Notamacropus eugenii: one gene and its partners. The protein of the gene in region 1 interacts with the protein of each later gene in a pairwise test. Links are inferred from orthologs where the notes say so. Each region holds a gene or a part of one and is shown on either strand. Other genes may lie near its edges.

Region 1 (7,470 bases):
TAGCCTTCTGGACTTGTTAGACCAGTTTCATGTTTACAACAAAATGCCAGACTATCTACGCCATTCAACACATGCAGTAAATGTTCAAACTTGATAGTTTATTAATAACTGCCTTGAGTTTTCCTGATCTCTACAGGTTTCCCATAAGCTGCTTGTCTATACAGAAATGGCATGGCAAAATAAATGTTCTATAACTACCTGATATCTTCTAAGCTGATTTAAAATGCCAACCCAGCTACAATACAAAATCTCCGTAAGATGATTTCTACCCCACCCAAGTGGTTGCACATTCAAAAATTCATGTATACAATTATGTCGGATGTTAATTATAGAAAATTAGTCAGCTGTGCTAATTTTTAGAAATGAGTACACAATTAATTATTTGTGAATTTAGTGTCTGTGGATAAGGGAGCTTCCTCAATGTTCTAAGATTATGGGATCATAGCATCGGAATCTTGATACTAGAGGGGATAATCTGAGGCCATCTGTAGTTCGAGAAACTGAGACCCAAGGCTTGGTAGGTAGACTCATGTGGGAAAAAGCAATAAAATTTTTCTTAAAATACTAGTTATACTTCCCTAAATTCTTTTTTTTCATACTTGAGTGCCTTCTATTAATTCAAATTATTGCTTTATTGACCTTCTGGCTATGACTTTAGTATTTATTATGAAGTGTTGACTATTCCTTCTTCAATTACATTCTTTAAATGTTGGAAATAAGAGTTGGTTTTATTTTTTTCTTAGGGTATTTAGCTTTAATTGTAATATAAAAGTAAAGGTACAAAAAAGCCCATTACTAACAATACTAAAATGATATCTCTCCTGTAAATCCAGGAGCCTAGCTTAGGAGCAAAAGTACTCTGGCAAGAGCTAGGCCTGAAAAGCCGCAAATGTGCTGCTGGCCTAATGCTGAGACAAGGAGAGTCACCTTCACAGCTAGCTGGACTCTGCTTTTTGCTGCTGCATGAGTGGGCAACAGAAAAACACTGCTTGCCTTCCCTGCCCACCATTTTTAGGGGACAGCTGGGAAGTTTCCACTCATTTCAGAAGAAGAGTCAGGAACCTTCCTTGGCAGCTAAAGAAGCCAGGCTTTGGAGGCCCTGAGCCAAATGTTGTGGCTCCATAGAGTCCACCCAAACTTCTTTCAACATAGGCCTTAGCAACCTCTGACTTTCTCTTCTAGCTTTTCCACTATGCTCAGAAAGCTCCAGAGACCTGCCGAGGCATGGCCCTGACACAAAGATAGAATTTTTTGAATCACTGCTTCTTGGTGTTCCACCCCAAGCTAGAGACAGTTTTACTAAAGATATTTTCATTAAGAATGGAAATTTTAAAACTAAACAATACAAGCACCACAAAATATCAAGAGACTAGATTGTTCCTTAAAATGAAAGTTACCGTGTCCTTTTATCTTGTCAACTGATAGCAAAAATGGCAACTCAATGTAACATTTTTCTGGACCAAATGTAACTCAGAAATCATATAACAGGGATCAGGAGATCTGAACAGGAAGAATTCTTATCAATCATCCAGTCCAACTTTCTTAGATGGGGAAACTGAGGCACACAGAACTTGAGTGCTTTGCCCAAGGTCACCCACATAAGGGGTAAAGCCTAGAATTCAAATCTAGGTCCTCTAAATCTGGAACCTCTAGGTTTTCCTCTACATCTGACTGCCTCTCTCACAAGCATCTCTATCTATGGACTTATTTAGAATAGAAATGCCTCTCTCCTGTGAACATACATTCAAACTAGGCAGGAGACAAAACTTCCCAGGCAACTTGCAAAAGGAGCAAAAGAAGACAGCCAACCCTACTCAATTGTTGTGTCTGTGTGCCTTTTGCGCTGTACGTAGTCCGCTGTTAAACCTGTGGACACAGCTGAAGAATAAATCAGTTTCCCTTGTGTCTCTGCTGCTCGGGTGGACTTAACCAACTTTAAATAAACATTACAGGGCTAAAGTATCAAATGATTTAGCGCACTAAGAAGAGCTGCAGTGCGTCAGAGACAAAAGGCAGCTCCTGCTTTCTACTTGGGGGGTGGGGTAGGGTGGGGAGACAAGGGGCTTGCCAATGAATGCCCTTTCCACCTCCTGCCCTTCCCTGGCCAGTCCCCGTGCCCGATCTCCCTGCCTCTCCCCGCCCCCCCTGCAGTGACCTGGCTAATCTGTCTCGGTCTCCAGGCCCGATCTCTCTACCACTTGCCTAGCCGCCCATGTCTTGTCCAGAACTCTCTACGGTCCTTCCCCCACGTCTCCTTCCTCTCCGCACTGCCACGCCGCTGGACAGAGTAACCTGTACATCAGCAGGGCGCGCGCGCGCACACGCAGACACATTCCCGGACCACCACCACCACCCGGCCTATCTCGATCCCCGCCCTACGGCTCTTCCTTCTGCTCCCAACTTTCCCTGCCCCGTGCTACACTCTCCCCGAAACAAACCAAAAGCGGAAGAGAAGGGAGGTCTATGTACTCCTTACTCCTTGTCCTATCCCCAAAGACGTCCCTCCCCAGTCCTTTCAGCTTTCTCCTCCGAAGCCCCCAACCCTCCAATGGTGGCTACCCCGCGGTGAAGAGTAAGCAAAGCCAGAGGTCGTGGGGGAGGAAGGACCACTCACTTTGTGCCCCTCGGGCGTGACGCGCGGGTCGTTCCATGTAGTGGTCCGGTTGTTGTGATCCACGAAGAATGGCCAACCCGTCTGTGGGTCGATTTTAATTTCCCAGCCTGGTGGCAAGGGGTCTCGCTCCCCGCCATTGCCGCTGTTGCTGGTCGCCATCTGAACCATTGGGGAGTGAGTGGCCGCGCTCATGCTCTGCCGAAGGAGCGACTTCTGCTACCGTAGCGGTGACTTCTGCTGCTGCTGTGTCTAGAGCTGTGGCTGCCGCTGCTGCTTGCTGGCGAGGCTGCTACTAGCTGGGGCCGGGGCTGGGGCTCGGCTGGGGCGGGGAGAGCGAGTTGAACTGGGTTGGGCTAGACAGGGCGGAGGCGGGGGGAGGGTGAAGTTAAAGAGGAGGCGAAGGAGGCTGGCTACAAGGGTGTCCTTAAGTCCGCCTCCGAGCACCTTTATGAATTAATGGTGGAGTGACGTGAGAGGAAAGAGCTGGAAGTATCTGGAAATAGTCCTCCCGGGGCAGAGGCACGGAGGAGATAACGAAGAGAGCGAGGAGGAAGCAACTGGCTCAGTAGAAACTTCTGGTTCCATCCAGCAGACTTGGCTGTGCCCCTTTTCCAGGATGCAGAGCTCCGCCCTGAGTCATCGGCTATTATTGTGGCCCTTAGTCTTTCCACCTAGGCCTCCGGTTCGGGGCTGCTTTAGCCTGCCTTTACTTTACTCGACTGCAGTTGGCTCCCGTTTGTAAGTTGAAAGGGAGAAGAGCTGGATAACTGAAGAAAATTTGGCCTTTTCAGTAGCAACCCACCCCTTCCGACTGCCGGTCGAAAAAGAAATCTGATTGGGAATGTGGGCCTATTGACTCTTTTTAAAAAGAGAAAATGGCAAGGGATTGCCCAAAATGATGGCATTTGGACTGGATGTTTGTAGAACTGAAGCGTTCCCAGTAACTAATTCGTGTGCTAGCTAGCTAATAAGGTTTCATTTTTCCCTTTCCATTCTTTATGGCTATTTCATAGCAGGTTAAGATTAAGAGAAAACACATGCAGATGTCCTGGTTCCTACCTTGTGTTTTTGAATCTCATCCTTAGTATTTTTGAGTTTTCTGGGGGTAAGAAATGTTAAATATGCTACATGGAGTAGTTCTGCTTGAGTTCTATATCCCAAAGAGTCGTGGAAAATCGGATCTAACATTATTTCCCCCAAAGAGAAGGCGTTTTGTAGGTCTGAAGCCTGTGCATTCCCAAGAAGAAAAAATAACTTCCATCAATTCAAAGCTTTTCCCCTACTTTTCTCACCCAAGTCAGTTACCCCTTCCTGTTCTGTTTTTACATTACAGGTTTTTCAGGACATGTCCTTCAACCACCATTCCCCATTCACCCCAATCTTTGTGCCAAAGAACAATTAAGCAAAATTAATCAACACACCAAATCACCCAGGACAATAACAGAATGTTCCATACTATAGGCCCTTACTTCTCCAAGGATCTGAGGGAGAATTTCCTCATTTCTTCTCTGGACCAAGACTGTTCAATATTAAATACAAAGCACTGAACTTCATTTTTCAATGAACCATTTTAAAGAGGAAAAATTATCTTTATTTTTTAAGAGTTGATTGCCATTAAACAAAATATATGTTGAATTAAAGTACAAAAGCAGAAATATCAATCTTGATGTGCATCTGTGAAGAAGGAAACAAGGTCAACTAATCTTTTCATTAACTCCCAGATGGGAAGCCTTTGCACTTCAGTAATTCTACGAAAATTTTATGTCCAGACTGGGAAAAGGGTTGAAATGGTTGTTACCTAGAATTTCAAATTCTGTCAGTTCATTCTTCCCCTTGAATCATCTAAATGGTTTGTGTAATAATATTGAGTCTAATTCTCCACCCTACAGATTAGAGGCTGAGATATCAGAATCATATAAATTCAAAGAAGAATGCCCTACATGGTTTTACAATGCAGGAAACAATGTTGTACTGACTACCAGTGGAGGGTGACTATCAGTGGTCACTCTGATCCCATATCCCCAGTTCTTCTGGACATATTGAAAATGGTCTGTGGCAAGTCTTCCAGTCACACAATGTTGCCTAACACTTTTACAATACAGGAGCACCACAGCAGCTGGCTCTCAAGGAAATTATGTATTTAGTTCATAAAACTGTCAATACAATGTAAATGTTTAACTTACATATTTAATTTATGTGCTTGACATCTGTCCACAGGCTATCATGGATTATAAATTCTAACAGAACAGGCACTGCTTCTCTCTTATTCTATTTAGTATGAATACAGGACATCTAATTCTATCCAGCCTAATTTTATTCTGACCCTAGCTATTCATCCCTAAAATATGATTATACTTGATCTATATATGATATAAACATCTGATTGATATAACATCTCTATTTTCTTGTCACTAGATCATCAATTCAGAGCTCAGAAGAACCTTAGTCTAATGCCCTCATTTTACCAGATGAGGAAACTGAGACCAAGAAAGGGTAAACTGATTTACTTAAGGTCACACAGGTATTAAGTGGCAGAGAAAGATGTCCTCCTACATCTATTTCACCTTAAATTGTGAGGTCATAAGAGGCTATGTAGGTATAAGATCCATAATTCTTATGACAATGCCTCACATAGTACCAACTGGATTTTTGATAAATGCATTCAGTTGAAGATGATTTTCAATTCTCTTTGCACAGCTAACAGCACAATGTGATAGGAACATATTTACCTCACGTAAGCATACAGTCAAGTCAACTGTGTCCCAAGAATAGTCAAGAAACATTTCATGTTAAAAATAATCAATCAAGTAAATTTTTATTGAAATTATTATGCGCAGGAAGTTGTCAGCTAGGATAGGGAACCTGCAGCCTAGAGGCCACATGTGACCTTCTAGGTCCTTGGATGCAGCCTTTTGACTGAGTCTAAGTTTTACAGAACAAATTCTTTTATTAAAAGGATTTGTTCTGTGAAGTTTGGATTTAATCAAAGGGCTGCACTTGAGGACCTAGAAGATCATATGTGGTGGCTTTGAGGCTGAAGGTTCCCCACCCCTGTAGGCACTTGGGCTGGGGGCGAAGGCATACAAATAAGTATAGGACATTGTCTTTTCTCTCAAGGGATTTATAATTTCAAGGAAGATAGAATAGTGGGAAAGAACATCATTTTAGGAGTCAGGAAACCCGGATTATATAGCCCCAGTTCTATCTCTGTTAGTTCCAGTTGTATAATCTACCATTAGCTGGGATAACTCCAACTCTACTACCCACCAGCTGTAACTCTGAGCAAGTGACTTCACTTTTGTGGGTCTCATATTTTCTTATCTGTAAAATGAAGGCACTAAAATATGACTTCTGAGGTGCCTTCTAGCTCTAAAATTCTCTGTTTTTTCTTGTTAGGAGGAAGTATATAAATTAAGGTCCATGATCATGCACAAAAGGCCTATGATCTAGTTGCAGAGATAAGGCATAAAAATAAAAAGTTACATAATTTTTTTCCCCTACCTTTGATTTCATCAAGGTATCTAGTTTCCATTTGATATAGATCAGCTTCTTATCATCTTAGAGAGTTATCTTGGGACTTGAGAGGTTGTTACTTGCCCATGATTATACAGCGGTTAATACAGGTAATGTCAGAAGCTGAACTTGAACCCAGGTCTTCTTGACCCCAAGGCTAGCCCTCTATCCTTTTGTCTCATTGCCCCTCTAGACACCAAAACAGGTCTTAAATAACAGCACTATACCAAAACACAAGAAATGTCATAAAGGATATGACTTGTTAATTGCTGAATCACTGTTGAGGTCAAAGGAAAGTGATGTCATTATGAGACTGAATGGTCTAGGAAGACTTAAGAGGAGAAGGGACTTGAGAAGGGCCTTTTTATAGGCTGGGTTCATTTTGCCTCTTTGCAAGTCAAATTCAAAATGCATTTTAAATTCTTATATGTCTTTCTTTGCCAAATACAGTTCATATTGTAACTAGTTTTATTTTGTGTTGGGTGTCTGGACCTGTGATTTCATCAGCATAAGGAACTCTCAGTATGAAAACTCCTCCAAAAATGCATATCTACCACTTGTCGGCAACACACAGTCTTAGGGAGTTTCCTGGGGCACTGAGGTAAGAAGGGACTTGCCCATGATCCCCACATCTAGTATGTGTTAGAGGCAGGTCTATAATTCAGATCTTCTCTGCTCCCAACACTATCTAGTATATCTTGTGCCTCTCAACTTTTTAGTAGTTTTTGTAACTAATAAATAAATATGTTGGTTGAAGTCTGTAAAATTGTTATGATTTAACCCTTATAGGCATTGTTTTTTATAGGCCCTTGCAGACACTCTTTGTTAGAGCTGAGCTCTGGAGATTTCAAGCCATCCCAGTTATACAGCACAGAGGACTGTGGATTCAAATTGGTGTTTGAAGCCAAGGGCACCGAGGCTCCCAAGCCTTCTTCAATTAAGTAGCCCTAAGCCATGATGATTAAGTGTGGCCTCTGGTGGTGTTATTATGGATAACCTTTATAGGGCTGCTAAGATAAAGCAACCTTTGTCCCAGGCAACTATGACTTAAAGCCTAAACAAGGGCAATAGTTGCCCACTAAGAAAAAGAATGAAAGGACCCACTCAATTCCTAATGGCAGCACTCCTCAGAGCTCTGGACAGTTGAGGTCTTGGCTCAGGCACAGACTTCTCCATCAATCTTTATCCCTGTTCTTGGGTCTGAATGATAGACATACTTACTCTGCAGTACTTCAAAGCAAGGTGGTTTTGTGGGTGTGAGTCCTGCCTCCATCACCACCAATCACAACTCCTCTATTCCCTTGTAGATAAGTCTTTGTGAGTTTCAATGGCTTAAAAAATCA
Region 2 (7,526 bases), on another chromosome or scaffold:
ATAACTCCCTCCCAGGGTTGTTGTAAGAATCAAATTAAATAAAAATTGTAAAGCATTACGTCAATTTCAGCTAGCAGTAGCTGTTTAGTCATTTCAAGCGTATCCGACTCTCTGTGACCTCAGTTGGGGTTTTCTTGGTAAAGACATTGGCCTGATTTGCCATTTCCTTCTCCAACTCATTTTACAGATGAGGAAACTGAGGCAAACAGGAATAAATGATCTGCCAATGGTCATACAGCTAGTGTCTGAGGCCAGATTTGAACTCAGATTCTCCTGACTTCAGAGGCAGTGCTCTCTCTACTGTGTGACCCACTGGAAGAAAACTTCAGGGGAACAGAAATTAAGAGCCCCTCCATTCACTGTTCTTTTATTAATAATTTCATAAATATTTCACAAATATTTTAGTTTTGATTAGAAAAACCATTTCCACCAAGATGCTTAAAATTTAATAAGCTTTGTTTATCGTTCAGACTCTTCTGAATAAGCAGAAAAAAGGAAAAAATAATTATTTCGTCTAAATGGACCAGTGGACAGGTTTGCAAACTAGACTGGGGGGAAGGGATACACCTCTTGGTAGTGCCTGCTATGTGCCAGGCACTGTGTTAAGAGTTTTAATATTATCTCACTGGAACCTCTACTTCTTTTTCAACTTGCTGGCCAGAAATGAGTCTAGAGTAGGGATTTTCAGAAGAGAAAGGAGGTAACTTGCAGCAGTGGGAGGTTGTTCGGAGGATAGGAAGCAGCATGGAACTATGCACAGAGGCAACAGGGGGACAAGTGAACAAAGAGGGCAGAAAGATGGGCCTGACAGGAGTACAGAGAGTTAGCAGATGAGTAGGAGGAGATGACATAGGAGTTTAAAGTTGGGGTGTAGTAGGGGAAAAGCCTTGGTGGTGAGTAGGAATAACTTAAACTTATGCAAAAAACAAAAAGGACCAAGAAAAGCTATTTGAGAAGGATAACAACATGGTTATAACACAGGAAGAAAGGAAGGTTATTCCGACTGTGGTATTTTAAACTGACTCAATGGTGGATAATTTGGACAAGAAATCCTGAAAGGGAAAAAAATGCCATAATCATGAGAGAAGACATTCAAATTTTGGACAAATATTTTTTTTTTCACAAGAAATAGAGAAAAGCAGACACAGATTTTAAGAGATACTGAACGAAGAATCAGGATTTTATAGTTTTAGACCCTGAAACAAAAGGAAACAGAGAAGCAAAAATGAACCTAAAATTCATGTAAGATCTCTTATCTGAAAAACATACAAGAGAAAAGTACTCTGAATAAAAAGAAAGTATAAAGTACTAAGAAAGCATATTACATTTTTCAGGAGTTAAAGTGTTAGTGGAGAAGCAATAAACACTAACTTAGTATTTCTTTAGCATTACTAAAAGGATTTTTATAAACAAAAACTCAAAAGACAAACAACTAGATAAGAGCAAACCCAACAGATAAACAAACTCTAAATAAGTCCAGAATAAAAAACATTTTTAAAATAGAGAAGAAATAAATTGGGAACCGAAAATACTGTAGAGCCACTAAACAAAACTAAGACTGTTCTTTGAAAAGGATAACAAAATTAACACACCTTTACCCGACTTGATTTAAAAAGAAATACTGGCAATTTATTGAATCCAAAAGGCCCAAATATTAGGAATTGTATAAAACCAAGAATAAATTATAAACTGTACCTACTGTTTTTAACCATGGCCTTGTAAAGCATGGTTTTCAGAAATATCTGTATTTTCACAGGAGAAATTTCTCTCCAAGTTCTGAAACATCCAGCCACTGATAAACTGTATTTAATCATGGAAAACGCCAACTAGCACTGCAACCTTTCTCATAGTGTACAGTAATTCTTTCTGTCATTACTGAACTAAATAGCATTTAATACTGAAGAAGCTGAAGTAGGCATTTTGGCAAGTTCAACAGCTTTACCACTAGGTGGCGGAGAAACACAAGTCTTATCTGTACTCCAAGACTAGGCTAGCCCTTCAAAGGATTTGATAAGACCCATAGAATTTCCACCAGGTGTCAACCAAGAGAAGATATACTTTTTTCCCCTATGAAAGACAGACCCATTATGCTGAACACAACCGTCCAAATTAAGAACAATTCAAAAAATACTTATTAAGACTTTCAAAGTTTATTAAAGTTTGTAAATTTCGAAATTCATGAAACACTGTCCACAAAAATCTAGTGAAGCAGAAAATATAGCTATTTCAGCCTCATTTTACAGGCTCACAAGTTCAGTGACTTACACATGGTCACACAGTTAATAAGGATAGAACCCTGGGGTCTGACCTAGGTGTTGACTTTGTCTAGTACACTGGCTCCACCATATCATGTAATTTTCTACATTAATGCATTGTATCCTATCCTAGGTCAGAGGAGATACTTAGTCTCATGAACAATAAATTCATAAACAAAGATCTCTAGCTGGATGGGAATTTGAAGGTTACTTATTCCCTCATTTTGCAGACCAGAAATCTGAAGTTCATAGCACTTAAAAGACTGGCCCAAAAGTCACAAAGTAAGAAACTAGAATTTGAACTCTGGTCCTTTTCCCCCAAAAGCAGTGCTCTCCACATCATTATAAGTCTGAGTCTCTGGCCTTTAAAGAGTTCATACTTCAGCAAAATACTAATATATCCATAGACAAGATGCAGTGACAAGAAATAAGTAAGCTATCCTCAGTCATAGGTTATTTATATATTTCACAAAGTAGTCAGCAAAACTAACACTTCATCGTGACATATCTACTCAATTTATTCCACTAAAAAAATCTAAAACAGAAATGACAATGTAGAAAAGATGACCAAAGTGTACTATTATTTTGGTCATTTTTTTGCTAAATGCAGAAAATAAGAAAAAGGGAGGGAAGATTAAAATTTTAAGTTTTAAAATATTATTTTACCATTAAACTTACCTGCAAATTTAGTAAATATCCTCAGTAGCTTACTCCTTTCTTAGACTTCATTAGAGTCAAGCTTTAGTTTTGAAGACTTTTTTTTTAAAGCAAAATTGTTTCAGTCTGAGATCAGGAAATCAGGAATTTTATATTATGAAGGAAAGTCTTCATAGCTCAACTGTTTCTAAACAGAAAAAAAAATGGGAATGTGTATCTTGAAGATGTACATCCAGAATTAATATTCTTGCTGAATAATTCAAGGTTTCCAAAGCCACACTGGTGCTTTTTAAAATAAACTATGTTTAATATCATTTAATCCAGAATTAGGATTTAAAAAAAAATCATCCACACTATTTCTCCCTACAGTGTTTTGTTCTTTTTGTAAACAGAATGTCTAAGTAAACACTTGGTCTTGTGTTTTCTAAGGTTTCATTTCTTATTTAAACCAGACAATTCTTGAAGTCCTCTCAGCACTTCTTGTCAAACCCTTAAAATACGATTTGTAGGTGGTTCCTTTAAACAGGACTCTTTCTTTTAAGGAAGTGGTCAGCCCTAATTATTTGGTCGTTGGTTGTTTTTCATGGCAATGGAGGTTAGAGATGGAGAGGGCACACAGCTCTGCTTAAATTCAACTGGCCTCTCTCCTCGTCCATGGCAAGATTCTCAAAGGAAAGGCAGGATTCCTTTGACCTCCATGGAGTCAATTTCACCCTACCTCGAACAGCAACAAATACAAAGTGTCCAATCCATCCTCCCTGAATTTGTCTGTTAACCACATATTTAAAGCCTGGGTTTGTTGTCATTTTTTTATTGCAATTTCTCTTGAAATTCATCAGATCACGTTATACCGGCCCGTCCAACAGGTTTCTCCCTTCCCCCTCCCCCTCTCCTCTTTCTCCAGCAGTGCCCGGTGGGCACAGGTCAGCCCTGCCCTCCGTGCACGCCCTGGGCGAGCGGTTCAGCAGCAGCAGCCACCCTGGCCTCCTTCCGCCTGCGTCCCCTCGTGTCCCCTGCTCTGCCATTACGGCTCTATCACGGCTATTCGAATCTGCTCGGTAGTAAAGCCTCCCATCCCACTTCTGGAGTTTTACGGTAGCCTGCGCACCAATAGGAACACTCAATGAAGAGAAGTCAGGTTCAGCTCTCCGTCTACAGCAGTCTTCTTCCCTCTGTTCTACACCTACTGTACCAGAAAGGAAGAGGGACGCGAGGGAGGGGGGAGGAAAAAGGCAGCAGCAGAGCCGTGCGCATGCTCTGTGGGGTTGTTTTTCACAAAGCTGGTTTTAAAGTGAGCTGGCAAGCTGTAGCCACCCGTCTTTGTACAGAGACCACTGATCTGAGAAGCAGCAGCATCCAGTGCTGTGACTTTTTAAGAAACCTCAATGAACTATTTGTAAAGAAGGCACTGATCCTGCCTGCAAGCCTTTTGCACGGCAAAGACATCGATCAGTGTTTAGTGAAGATCGCATTTTATATGTGATCTTGACCTTTTTTTGGTCTTACATTATATTTTTTTATAGATTTTGTTATAATCATGGTGCTGGGGAAGGTTAAGAGTTTGACAATAAGCTTTGACTGTCTTAATGACAGTAACGTCCCTGTATATTCTAGTGGGGATACAGTCTCAGGAAGAGTGAATTTAGAAGTTACTGGGGAAATCAGAGTAAAATCTCTAAAAATTCATGCAAGAGGACATGCGAAAGTACGCTGGACCGAATCTAGAAATGCTGGATCCAACACTGCCTATACACAGAATTACACTGAAGAAGTAGAATATTTCAACCATAAAGACATCTTAATTGGGCATGAAAGAGGTAAGTTTTTTTGATTATTCAGAAGTCATAAAGGAATATGATTTTCTTTAACTTGCCTCTTATTTTCTATGAATTGGTGCAATTTAACTCTTGGCTTTTCAGTTTGAAATCTGAACGTTTGTTGTAGAGAATCTTTTTTGCAGACTTGAAAATCTGAATTTTTTTTGACATCTATCGAGTGTTAAGCAGCAATGCATTCGAGCCATCTGCAAAGTGACTGTATAAGAACACTTTGCTAACTACCTCTAACATCTCTATAAGCCTCTTGCAATACGCACTTGCAATTCATGTGTACCTTATTTCTAATAGCTCCTTCCATCAGATTTCAGCATTTTAATAATATGGTTTCCAAACGCATTGCTAGAAACTGGAGTCGAATCTCAACTGGTTTTTTGTGGGGTTTTTTTTTTTTTTACTTTGCAACCTTGGCTCTACAAAATGAGTTGCAATAAAAGCATGGAGTAGCATCTTCTAATGAACGCTTAGAGGTGCATTTTAGATTTTAACATCGACATGCAATAATTTCAGAATTAATCATTGTTCCTTGAAAAAGGGCTTCCCGTAGCTTATTTTGACATATGCTATCAAACACCCCACGTGTTATTTTTTTCTTTCCTATTCAATTCCAAATTCACATCAAGCTACCTTTTTATCTTTTCTTAGAAAAAATGAAAAAAAAAAAGACTATCATCATGGTAGCTTTAAAATTTGACCAAGAGGCCATTTAGGGTCAATTCTTTTCTTTTAAGAGCATCATTTCTAACTTTGGAACATACATTGAATGAAACCGGTGCCAGTCAAAAGGAAATGTAAAGGACTTCTCACGCTAGGTCTGATTTTGGTTAAAAAAGGAAGATAAAGACTGTCAAAGGGGGAAGGGGTCCTGAGATTGCTAATCTATTGTTTGAATGGATACATTGTGGAAATATAGCAGACTCTAAGCTTGTTTTTCTAAGTTTCCACCCTTTGTTAGAAGCGGTTCAATCCTGTTTCGGACCAGTACTGGGGGGGTGAGGAGGGGCGCCTGTTCTGCTCTCAGCAGATTGGTTACACGCGTCAGGTGGTGGCGATGACTTAATTCCTAGCACCAGACTATAATGTTAAAACTGGTTATGTAATTCTTGGTCCTTCTCCTTTTTAATGCAGTATTTAGTTCAGACGTTGACGATTTTGCAGATAAAACTAAGAATTTGAGATATTTTGCCTATTTTCCCCTCTTTTTAAGCAATTTATATTCCTACCTAAATGATGCCATCTCAAGCCTCAGTCAAATGTAGGCATAAATGAAAGATAATCTCACTTCCATGTACGATGCAGCATGTCAGGGTGTTACGGGGAAAATGACGTTTCCATAGAATAAAACATTTTAAAACTATCTGCCCATGATGTGCAGACTTTCATTGTTAAGGCCCTCAAACATCGAACCACCCTATAAAGAGCAAATGCCTAATCACATTCCTGGTGCTTATTTAAAAGTAGCCACCGGAGTTTGCAACTAATCACCTAAATTATCCATTTTTTTTTTTGGCGGGGGGAAGGGGGTAGGTAAATTGTTGAGTAGATATAAAAGACGTAGTTAAGAGAGACTCGCAATGGCTGGGGGTAGGGAAGAATGATGGGAAAAAATGAGAGCGCAGAATACACTTTAATTTGTGTCTGCCATATTTCATTAACAAGAACCTGTTATCACCCACCCCCACCCACTCACCACCCCCAGTCCGACCAAACGCGGACCGACGTTAACCTGGAATAGTTTCAATGACTTAGACCAGGGACCTCTCAAACTAGCCTGGTAACCGAGGCCACGCCCCGTGCCGGCAGCGATAGGCGGAGTTTGGTTTGTTAGCCTGTTGCTAAGGCGATGCCAGCTGCTGATTGGATTGGGTGCCTGTCCCGGTGGGGAGAGGGAATTCAGGGAGGGAGGGGGCGAGGCTTGAGGATTCCAGTTCCTGGATTCCGGCGCGCGCCGGTAAAGGTTCCTCCTGGGCAGCCCGTCAGTCGGCCTGTCTGCGGTCCCCATCCTTGTCCCTGGGCAGCCCCACGCAGTGCTTTTGGGACCCCGCTATGCTCCGTTGCCCTTCTAACTCCCTGCATTAACCCCCCCCCCAGACCCTTGTTGGAGGCCCCCGCAGGATACTAATTGGCCTTTCGTGGAATGAAAATGCTAATTTCTCTGTCTCCTCCCCCCCCATGGCCTTGAGGATACCGGGATTGTCTTGGACCCTCCCGTTTTTAACTGGAAATAACCGGACTAGGCAGGTTTGGGGGGGAAATCTTTGCCTCTGCAGAGGCGTGGAGGAAGGTCTAAAAGAGTGTCAATTTTGTTTAAAAGGAAGGGTGTTTCCCACCCACCTAGCCATGCGATAACAAAGCGCGTTACCTTGCCATGACCCAAGAGGAGGGCTAGCCAGGACCGGAGAGAGCAAATCACTGGGGGTGGGGGACAAATCATGCTTAGTAAGTATTACGTCTTAATCACATTAGGACTTCATGCACGTCTGTGTGCATACACACCTTCCCTTTGGGGACCCTTTGCATTGCGTTTTGCGTTGCATTATTATATTTTATGACCCCCACCCTATTTTTTTTTTTTGGCTTTGTTCCGATTACCAAAGCCAGTAACACCCACCCCTAAAGATGTCTGAGCCAAACGTAGGCAAAACCCCTTGGGCACACTGGCCTGGGTGTGCAAAACCGGAAGCTTAAGAGGAGAGGGTGTCTTTGCACACACCGCCCCCACCCCGGCTTCCTCACCCCTCCCCTTCTTGGGGCTATCCAGCAGGCTAGGCTGCGCGTG
Region 3 (7,077 bases), about 110 Mb from region 1:
CCAAAGCTTAACACAGTGTCTGGCACATAGTAGGAGTTATATAAGTGCCCATGACCTCCCTCATTTTACAGATAAGGAAACTGAGTCCCTCAATAATTTATTGATTTGCCCCAAAATTGAAACCATATAACGAAATGAAAACTTAATACTTATCTTAAATGTTTGGATTAAAGCTATTAATTGTACTCCATGTTGCTATCTTCCATCCCAGTGAATTTATTGTTTTACTAATAACGCATGCCTAGGAAATAATAATTTAAAACTGCCAACTTGCAAGAAAAGCAACTTGGCCCAAGATGAGGAGGGTTGAGGTTAGGGGGTAGGAGGCAGGGACTATGAAAGATGAAGTAGTCTTACCACAATCTAAAGCAAGCCATTACTTTTCAGTAACGTGTCTCGGGGGATTTTTACAGTTGATATAATTCAGGCAAAACTTTAGTTTCAAGTTTCAAGTGAGAGAACATAAACTCAACTGCCTAAAAGAAATCTATCTACCTAGGAAGGTTAGCAGCTGAATCTTCCTGGCAACATTTTTGCAAAGAAAACACCAACTTTAGAAGTCGAGATGACTTCAAGAAACCTTGAATTTCCCAATAATAATTTTAAAAGGTAAATGAACTCAATCCCATTAAAAAAACATGCAGTGGCAAAGTATAAATAATCCTATAGCCTAAAAGAAAACCAGCTTCAGCACAGACTTAATGAGAAATAGTTGTAGTTTTAAACTAAGACCAAACCCCACATATTTGCACAATTATTTTTACAATAAACCTGGATCCCTTTTGGATGTTTCCCAATGTCTAATTAGTATGAATTCCATTGGACCAGACATGTTAAATCAGAAGTTCTTAAACTTTTTTGTATATGTCATGGACATCTTTGGCCATCTGGTTGAGACAAAGTATGGAGCCCTTCTCAGCATGTATTTAAACGCATAAGATGAAATACAGAGGAGTACATAGGAAATCAATCATACTTAAAACTGTTATTCAAAAATTCTACGTTCTTGGAAACAAGAGTAAAAATCTCAGGTCTAAAAGAAATCGTTAATGTTATAATGGGATAATATTTGTAAAGTGTTTAGTACAGTGCCTGGCACATAATATTTGCTTAATAAATGATTTGCTTCCTTTCCCTGTTTCCTTATGTGGGAACTTCACCCCAGTGATATATGGAATTCCCTGCTGAGAAAACACGTTAGACAATGCTGGTGGTGAGGAGAGGGGCAGAGAGGCTAAGTGACTTGCCCAGGATCACACAGGCTTGGAGACATGGCCATCCCATGTGCTCTAGATTATGAAACAACAAATTAACATTTTAGTCTAGATATGGAAACAGGAAACTGTAAGGTGCTGAAAGAAGTCAGTAACCAAAGCGAATGGACAGTAAGCAGATCTTCAACATGCTTTTATTTCAGGAATGTGAATACTTCCACCTTCTCACTTCAGGAGCTAAGAACTACATATCTAGTAATAACGTTATCATAATAACAACATTTTTATGGAACTTTAAGATTTGGAAAGCACTTTACAAACATCATTTCATTTGATGTTCATGAAATCCCTGGGAGGTAGGTGCTATTATTAGCCCCATTTTACAGATAAGGAGACTGAGGCAGAGGGTGGTTAAGTGACTTGCCCAGGGTCACACATTTAGAGCATGTCTGAGGCTATATTTGAACTCAGGTCTTCCTGTCTCAAGGTTCAAATGAAGGGAAGTAGTAATGTGTTCGTCATATGATGTCGAACAGAGGTGAACAAACATCTGTCTCCTCATATTTGAATGACTGAGTGAAGGAGCAGTGTGGCAACTGCGCCCATGAAAGTATCCACAAACTGTTTCCAAAAAGAGCCATGAGTCCTTCTTTGGGATCTGGAGGCTACCACAGTAGGGTTTTTTTTTTTCTGACTTTGAACACATAGCTTGAGTTTTCCTTCTGGCTCTGCCTCCAAGTCTCTGACCTCACTCAAATCACTGGACTCCCCTGGGAAATAAAAATAGAAACCTCCTCCAGTTATTGCAAACTGGACCAGTGACTTCACATGCCTTTGCAAATAGTCTGGCCAGTCCCTCTGGCAAGCAGCGACACAGTTACCAAGCTCGTCCACGACACTCATCCTGCCCCAACCGCGGGACATCTGCTACACCTCAGCTCCAGCTCCTAAGTTCCTTCAGTTACCTACCGAGAACTTCCCCCTCCTGATCAGTTCAAAGCTTCTAGACCCTTTCCTTTCCATTCCATTCCGGTACACAGGCCGGGATGGGGGGATGGGGGGCGGGGGGGGGGGGAGGGAGGGGCGGGAGGGATTGTCAGTCCATATCCTAGAGGCAAGTTCCCTCCCTTTGGCTGGCCTCCTTCAGATCCAGAACAGGGTGGTCCAACGCGGTGCGAACCTGTTGGCACTTCAGCTCGTACGAACTTCCTTTCGGAGCCGCACAACCAAAGAGCCTAAGGAAGGACCAAGTCCCGAACCACCTGAAGCTGCCCCCAAGTCCCGGAGGACGTGTGGGTGGTGTTTTCTTCTCCCCTTTAACTCGCCCAGAAGGATTGCCCTGGGAGGAGGGAAGATGCCTGCCTGCCTGCCCTCCTTAAACTGAGCCAGCGTGGGAGGAAGGACTCAACTTCTGCCCACTCGGGGACTTCCAGTCCTGGGTTCTAAGCACGTCTGAAACCAGAACATTAGGGACGGAGAGACCATCGAGGTATGCCCCGAGGTCTCCCAGATTTTTTTTTTTAAACGAACCCGACCCCAACACAGTCAGCTCCTGGTAAGCGAGGAGCCATCCAGGGAGAAGGTGCCGAGGAAAGAAAGGCGGCGGCGGGGCCCCGGGCTGGCCGCAGCCCGCCCCCTCCCCTCGGGCCAGGCTCCGATCCAGGACCAGTCTGAAGGTGGCCATCACACCCTCTGCCCCTCCCTGAACCCCCGTCCCCTGCCTCGAAACTCACCAAGACGAGCTCTCGGTCCTCCTCACCCCCCACCCACCGCAGTCTGGGTTCGAGGAGGCCCGCACTTACCAGCGCCTAGCGAGCCGAGCCGAGCCGTGCCGAGCCGGAGGTCTGAGCTCGCCGGGGCAGGCGAGGGGGCGGGTCTGAGAGGACCGGGGCGGGCAGCGCAGTTCGACAGGCTTCCGGCTTCTCCCCGCCTCCTGGCCCGGCTCCGGAGAGCTGCAGCCCCGTCCCGTCCTTTCCCGTCCCGTCCCGCCTAGTCTCGCTCTCCGCCCCCTTCCCTTCCCTGCCCAGCCCCTTCCTCTTGTGGCTAAAGGCTCCCTGGTCCTGCTCGTTAGCCGGTGGCTTCCCTCTGGCCGTCCTGTCCAGTTGCTGAAGAGCCCTTTAGCCTCTCCATCCTCTGATTCAGAAACTCTCGGAGTTGGAAGGAGCCTTAAAAATCGTCCAGTCCAGACCTTTTTTAGGTCATGGCCCCCTTTCCAGTCTGGTAAAGCCCTCCTCAGAATCAGAAATGCATGAAATCCATAGGATTACAAAAGAATCCAAAGGTTGGCGAAAATACAGATGTAATTTTTTTTGGCCACGTTCACTGTGCCTTAGAAATCTATCCGCGCCCCACCGCCTTAAGTCCACCGACTCCAGGTTAAGTACCTTTGATCTGGTCCAACTTTCTCATTTTACAGAGGAGGAAACTGAGGCCCAGAGAGAATTAGTCACGTTCCCAGGCTCACAGTTATTTTGGGACACAACTAGATACTAGGACTCGGGGTCACCTAACTCCCAATACATCAGATATCGCACTGCTCTTTTCTCCCTCAAATTTCCTCCCTTTTTGGTCCAGTTTTGCCTTCATTTCCTTCCCCAGTTACACTCTTCTCATCCCCTGTCTGCCCTTCCCAGATTTCAGTCTCCACCCGATTACTTCTTTCTCACACGCTTTGGTGTGGTCCTTCTACAGTCTAACTTCTCCCTGTTCGTTCTCTCAAGAGGAGCCAATGACCACTTCCCCCAGGGGAATTCACTGAGCTGATTATACGCAATCTTTCTTCTGTCCTCTTTGCCCTTTCTAGAATGACCTATTATCGTTGTTGTTCAGTGGTGTCCAACCCATCCCCAACCCCTTTGGGATTTTCTTGGCAGAGATACAGGAGTGGTTTGCCATTTCCTTCTTCAGCTTGTTTTTATAGATAAGGAAACTAAGACAGAGTTAAATGACTTGCCCAGGGTCACACAGTTAGTAAGTATCTGAAACAGGATTTGAACTCAGGTCCTCCTGACTCCAGGACGGGCACTCTATCCACTGGGACAGACCTAGCTGAACCAATGATTTATGTCTGCTCCCATTTTCCATGAATTCTGAGTCACAAATGTCAATGGAAAGCAGTAACTCAAAATCTTATCTCCACCACTAACTTTCTATGCAAAGTTCCTCCACAACTTCCTCCAATTTTCCTTTAATAAACATCAGAGAACTCCATTTTACAATTGGGGAAAGGGAAGCTAGTAGTTGTGAAATGACCTATCCAAGGTCACAGAATAAGTCAGTGACAAATCCTGGACTAGAACCCCAGTCTCATGACTCCCACTCCCAGAGTCCTTCCACCAAAATCACCATGACAACCCAACTCAGTGCAGCAAAACTAGAAGTTTTAAAAGGGGCTATATATCAGTCTGGCAAAGTTTGTGAAAAATTCATCAATAAATCTATGATCTCATCAGAATGGATTGCAACACAGCAAGTATGTTTTATCCTGTTATACTTCTCCATTTCTTTCCATAACACCTCCATAAAGAATCTACCCAACAATGCTTTTCCTCTGATGAGTTAAAAGGTGTGTGCTTATGTGTGTATGAATAAACATTGGACCTGCGATTTCATCAATATAGGGAATGTCTGGTCGTCATCTATGTGTATATATCTATATGGATAGGTACTATATCTATGATTTCATCGGTATAAGGAACTCCCAAGTGAGGAAACTCCCTCTACCAATGCAGATTGGTAACTTCTCTACAATTTATAGTCTTAGAAAATTGTCTAGACCTAAAGCACTGAGATTAAATGATTTGCCCATGGTCTCAAAGCTATACGTGTCAGAGGCAGAGCATGAACCTGGATCTTCTTCACTCCAACGCTGACCTTCTCTGCATTATACCCTGATGTCACTCATCTTCGTCTCTGTAAACTTTCAATAAGTACAGCACTTTAGCAATATATTATTACTTAGAACCAGACCATATGTTTCCTCCATGATAACTGGTTCACTGTCACCTTTCAACTGAAGGGCTCTTTGGCAGACAAAAAGAGACCATATCATTAAGCTATCCCTGAACAGAGTCCTGTACCAGTAAGTAAGAGACTTGGAGGTGGGGATAGGAAAGAAACCAAAATAGTAAAGCAAAAACCAAACTCGTTTGATTTTTTAATATGATGTAGTAAAAATATATCATATGCCTAATTTTCCATGTGTCTTAAAAATTCACTTTTTCTCACAGTTTTTCTTTATCTCCTTTCCCTTGATTCATTGAACATAACAGACATTTAACTCGAGTTTAAGCAATAATCTTTATTTTTTTCAAATGTTTAAAGTTACTAGTAGGACCTTGAGGTTACTTATTAGAATAGTTTTAAACTTATAATCTTCTTTCCTCTCTTAATTTATTTTCTTCCTTTCTTAATTTTCTTCTTTCTTTTTTCCTCTTTCCTTCCAACTTTCCCTCTTCCCTACATTTCTTCTCTCTTCCCTTCTCAATTCCTTCCTTGCTTTCTTAATTCTTTCTTCCTTCCTTTCTTTTTTGTAAAAATTCCGAGGTAAAAAACACCACTTGGATTTCCAACCAGCAGCTTCCCAGCAGGGCACAAAAAAATAATGCCACTTGTTTCATGTGCTACCCTGTTATAACCCTGCAGGAGGAAAAACATACTGACTAACTCCTAGTACACAGGAAACTGAACTCTTGCTACTGCCAAGTCTAGGGAGATTCCAGCTCTCAGTTGACTTCATAGGGGATTTGGAAGTGTATTTGCTATCCTTGGTTACATATGGTATCACATGAACCAGTCTTGAAAGTGGAGCCCTGATTTCAGCTAATTTTTTCTCCCCTCTGGGCGTACATAATCAGACTTGAGCACTATAAGTAGTTGCCAGAGCCAGCCTCTGTAAGTGAACTCTTCCTCTTCACCAAGGCAACTTAGTGGTGCATATATTTATCACTGAACAATGTTCTCTTTTTTCCAAGGCTTCTGAGATCATGCCCTGAAATGGAGATGCAATTGTTTGCCGAGAAAGACATACAAACAGAGCGCTTCTGTGCTAAGCCAGAGAGCCTTGCCTGCAAGCAGGCAATTACCTACAGCTAATTTAATTGTCTGAAGATGGTGACCCTCTGTAATCAGAACAGCAGCCCCTGCCTGGCGGGCAAAGTTAAATCTCGGGGACTTTTCCAGACTGCCTTCTGTGTTTTAGTCTTGTTTTTCATATAAAAGCATGAAAGAGCATCAGCTATGTGTATCCAGTTCTCACCATGGTTCCTGCCTTCACAAGAAGATAAACTGCTCACCCCAAAATAGGATTTAGCCTTTAGCTTGCTTCCCCAAACTTAGAATACCACTCTTCCTTTTAACAGCCAAAGGAGAAGTCATGAAAAATGAGACTGCAGAAAAAGACAACTTCCTTTGTTGTTGTCAGACTTCTCAGAAGAACTGTACACAGATGTCCCCCAGGCTTCCTGGGTCACACTTTCCAGTTCCAGAGATACACTAAGACCAAGGTAATTTGAGTTAGGAATTCAGAATTACCCTTCATGTCTGCAAACAGGTTTGCCACCATTACTTGGCTAATCTTAGCATGTCACTGTCTCCACACCCATCTCAGGGATAGATCTGACCCCAAAGATCACCCAATACTATTTGCTTGGTCTCCAAGCATGAGGTTCTAAGACTCTGAGTTCTGTTTCCATTCACTGGAATCCTTGACAGGTCTTTGACTCTCTCTGATCTCTGTACCTCTCTTTCCCACCTTGGTGTCCTCCCCTTGGTTCCTAGCAAGGACCAGTACTTTGCTAATCCTTCATCAATCAAAGGGACTTCCTTGTCTCTGTCTCCCAGGGCTTTTCTCAATCCCCATACT

The links.
Region 2: the proteins of BAG3 (region 1) and ARRDC3 interact in binary tests that used the Homo sapiens proteins (3 or more experiments, as listed by UniProt). The two-hybrid records come from large-scale screens. The link is inferred for Notamacropus eugenii from reciprocal best matches to the Homo sapiens genes BAG3 and ARRDC3.
Region 3: the proteins of BAG3 (region 1) and LITAF interact in binary tests that used the Homo sapiens proteins (3 or more experiments, as listed by UniProt). The two-hybrid records come from large-scale screens. The link is inferred for Notamacropus eugenii from reciprocal best matches to the Homo sapiens genes BAG3 and LITAF.

The regions. Positions count from the first base shown.
Region 1 is NC_092872.1:199,785,786-199,793,255, reverse strand, and holds the start of BAG3 (BAG family molecular chaperone regulator 3), read right to left. Parts: upstream 3,202-7,470; 5' UTR 2,807-3,201; coding exon 2,615-2,806; intron 1-2,614. UniProt on the Homo sapiens protein: Co-chaperone and adapter protein that connects different classes of molecular chaperones including heat shock proteins 70 (HSP70s), e.g. HSPA1A/HSP70 or HSPA8/HSC70, and small heat shock proteins (sHSPs), e.g. HSPB8.
Region 2 is NC_092875.1:449,013,530-449,021,055, forward strand, and holds the start of ARRDC3 (arrestin domain-containing protein 3), read left to right. Parts: upstream 1-4,442; 5' UTR 4,443-4,449; coding exon 4,450-4,729; intron 4,730-7,526. UniProt on the Homo sapiens protein: Adapter protein that plays a role in regulating cell-surface expression of adrenergic receptors and probably also other G protein-coupled receptors.
Region 3 is NC_092872.1:91,387,295-91,394,371, forward strand, and holds the start of LITAF (lipopolysaccharide-induced tumor necrosis factor-alpha factor), read right to left. Parts: upstream 3,212-7,077; 5' UTR 3,017-3,211; intron 1-3,016.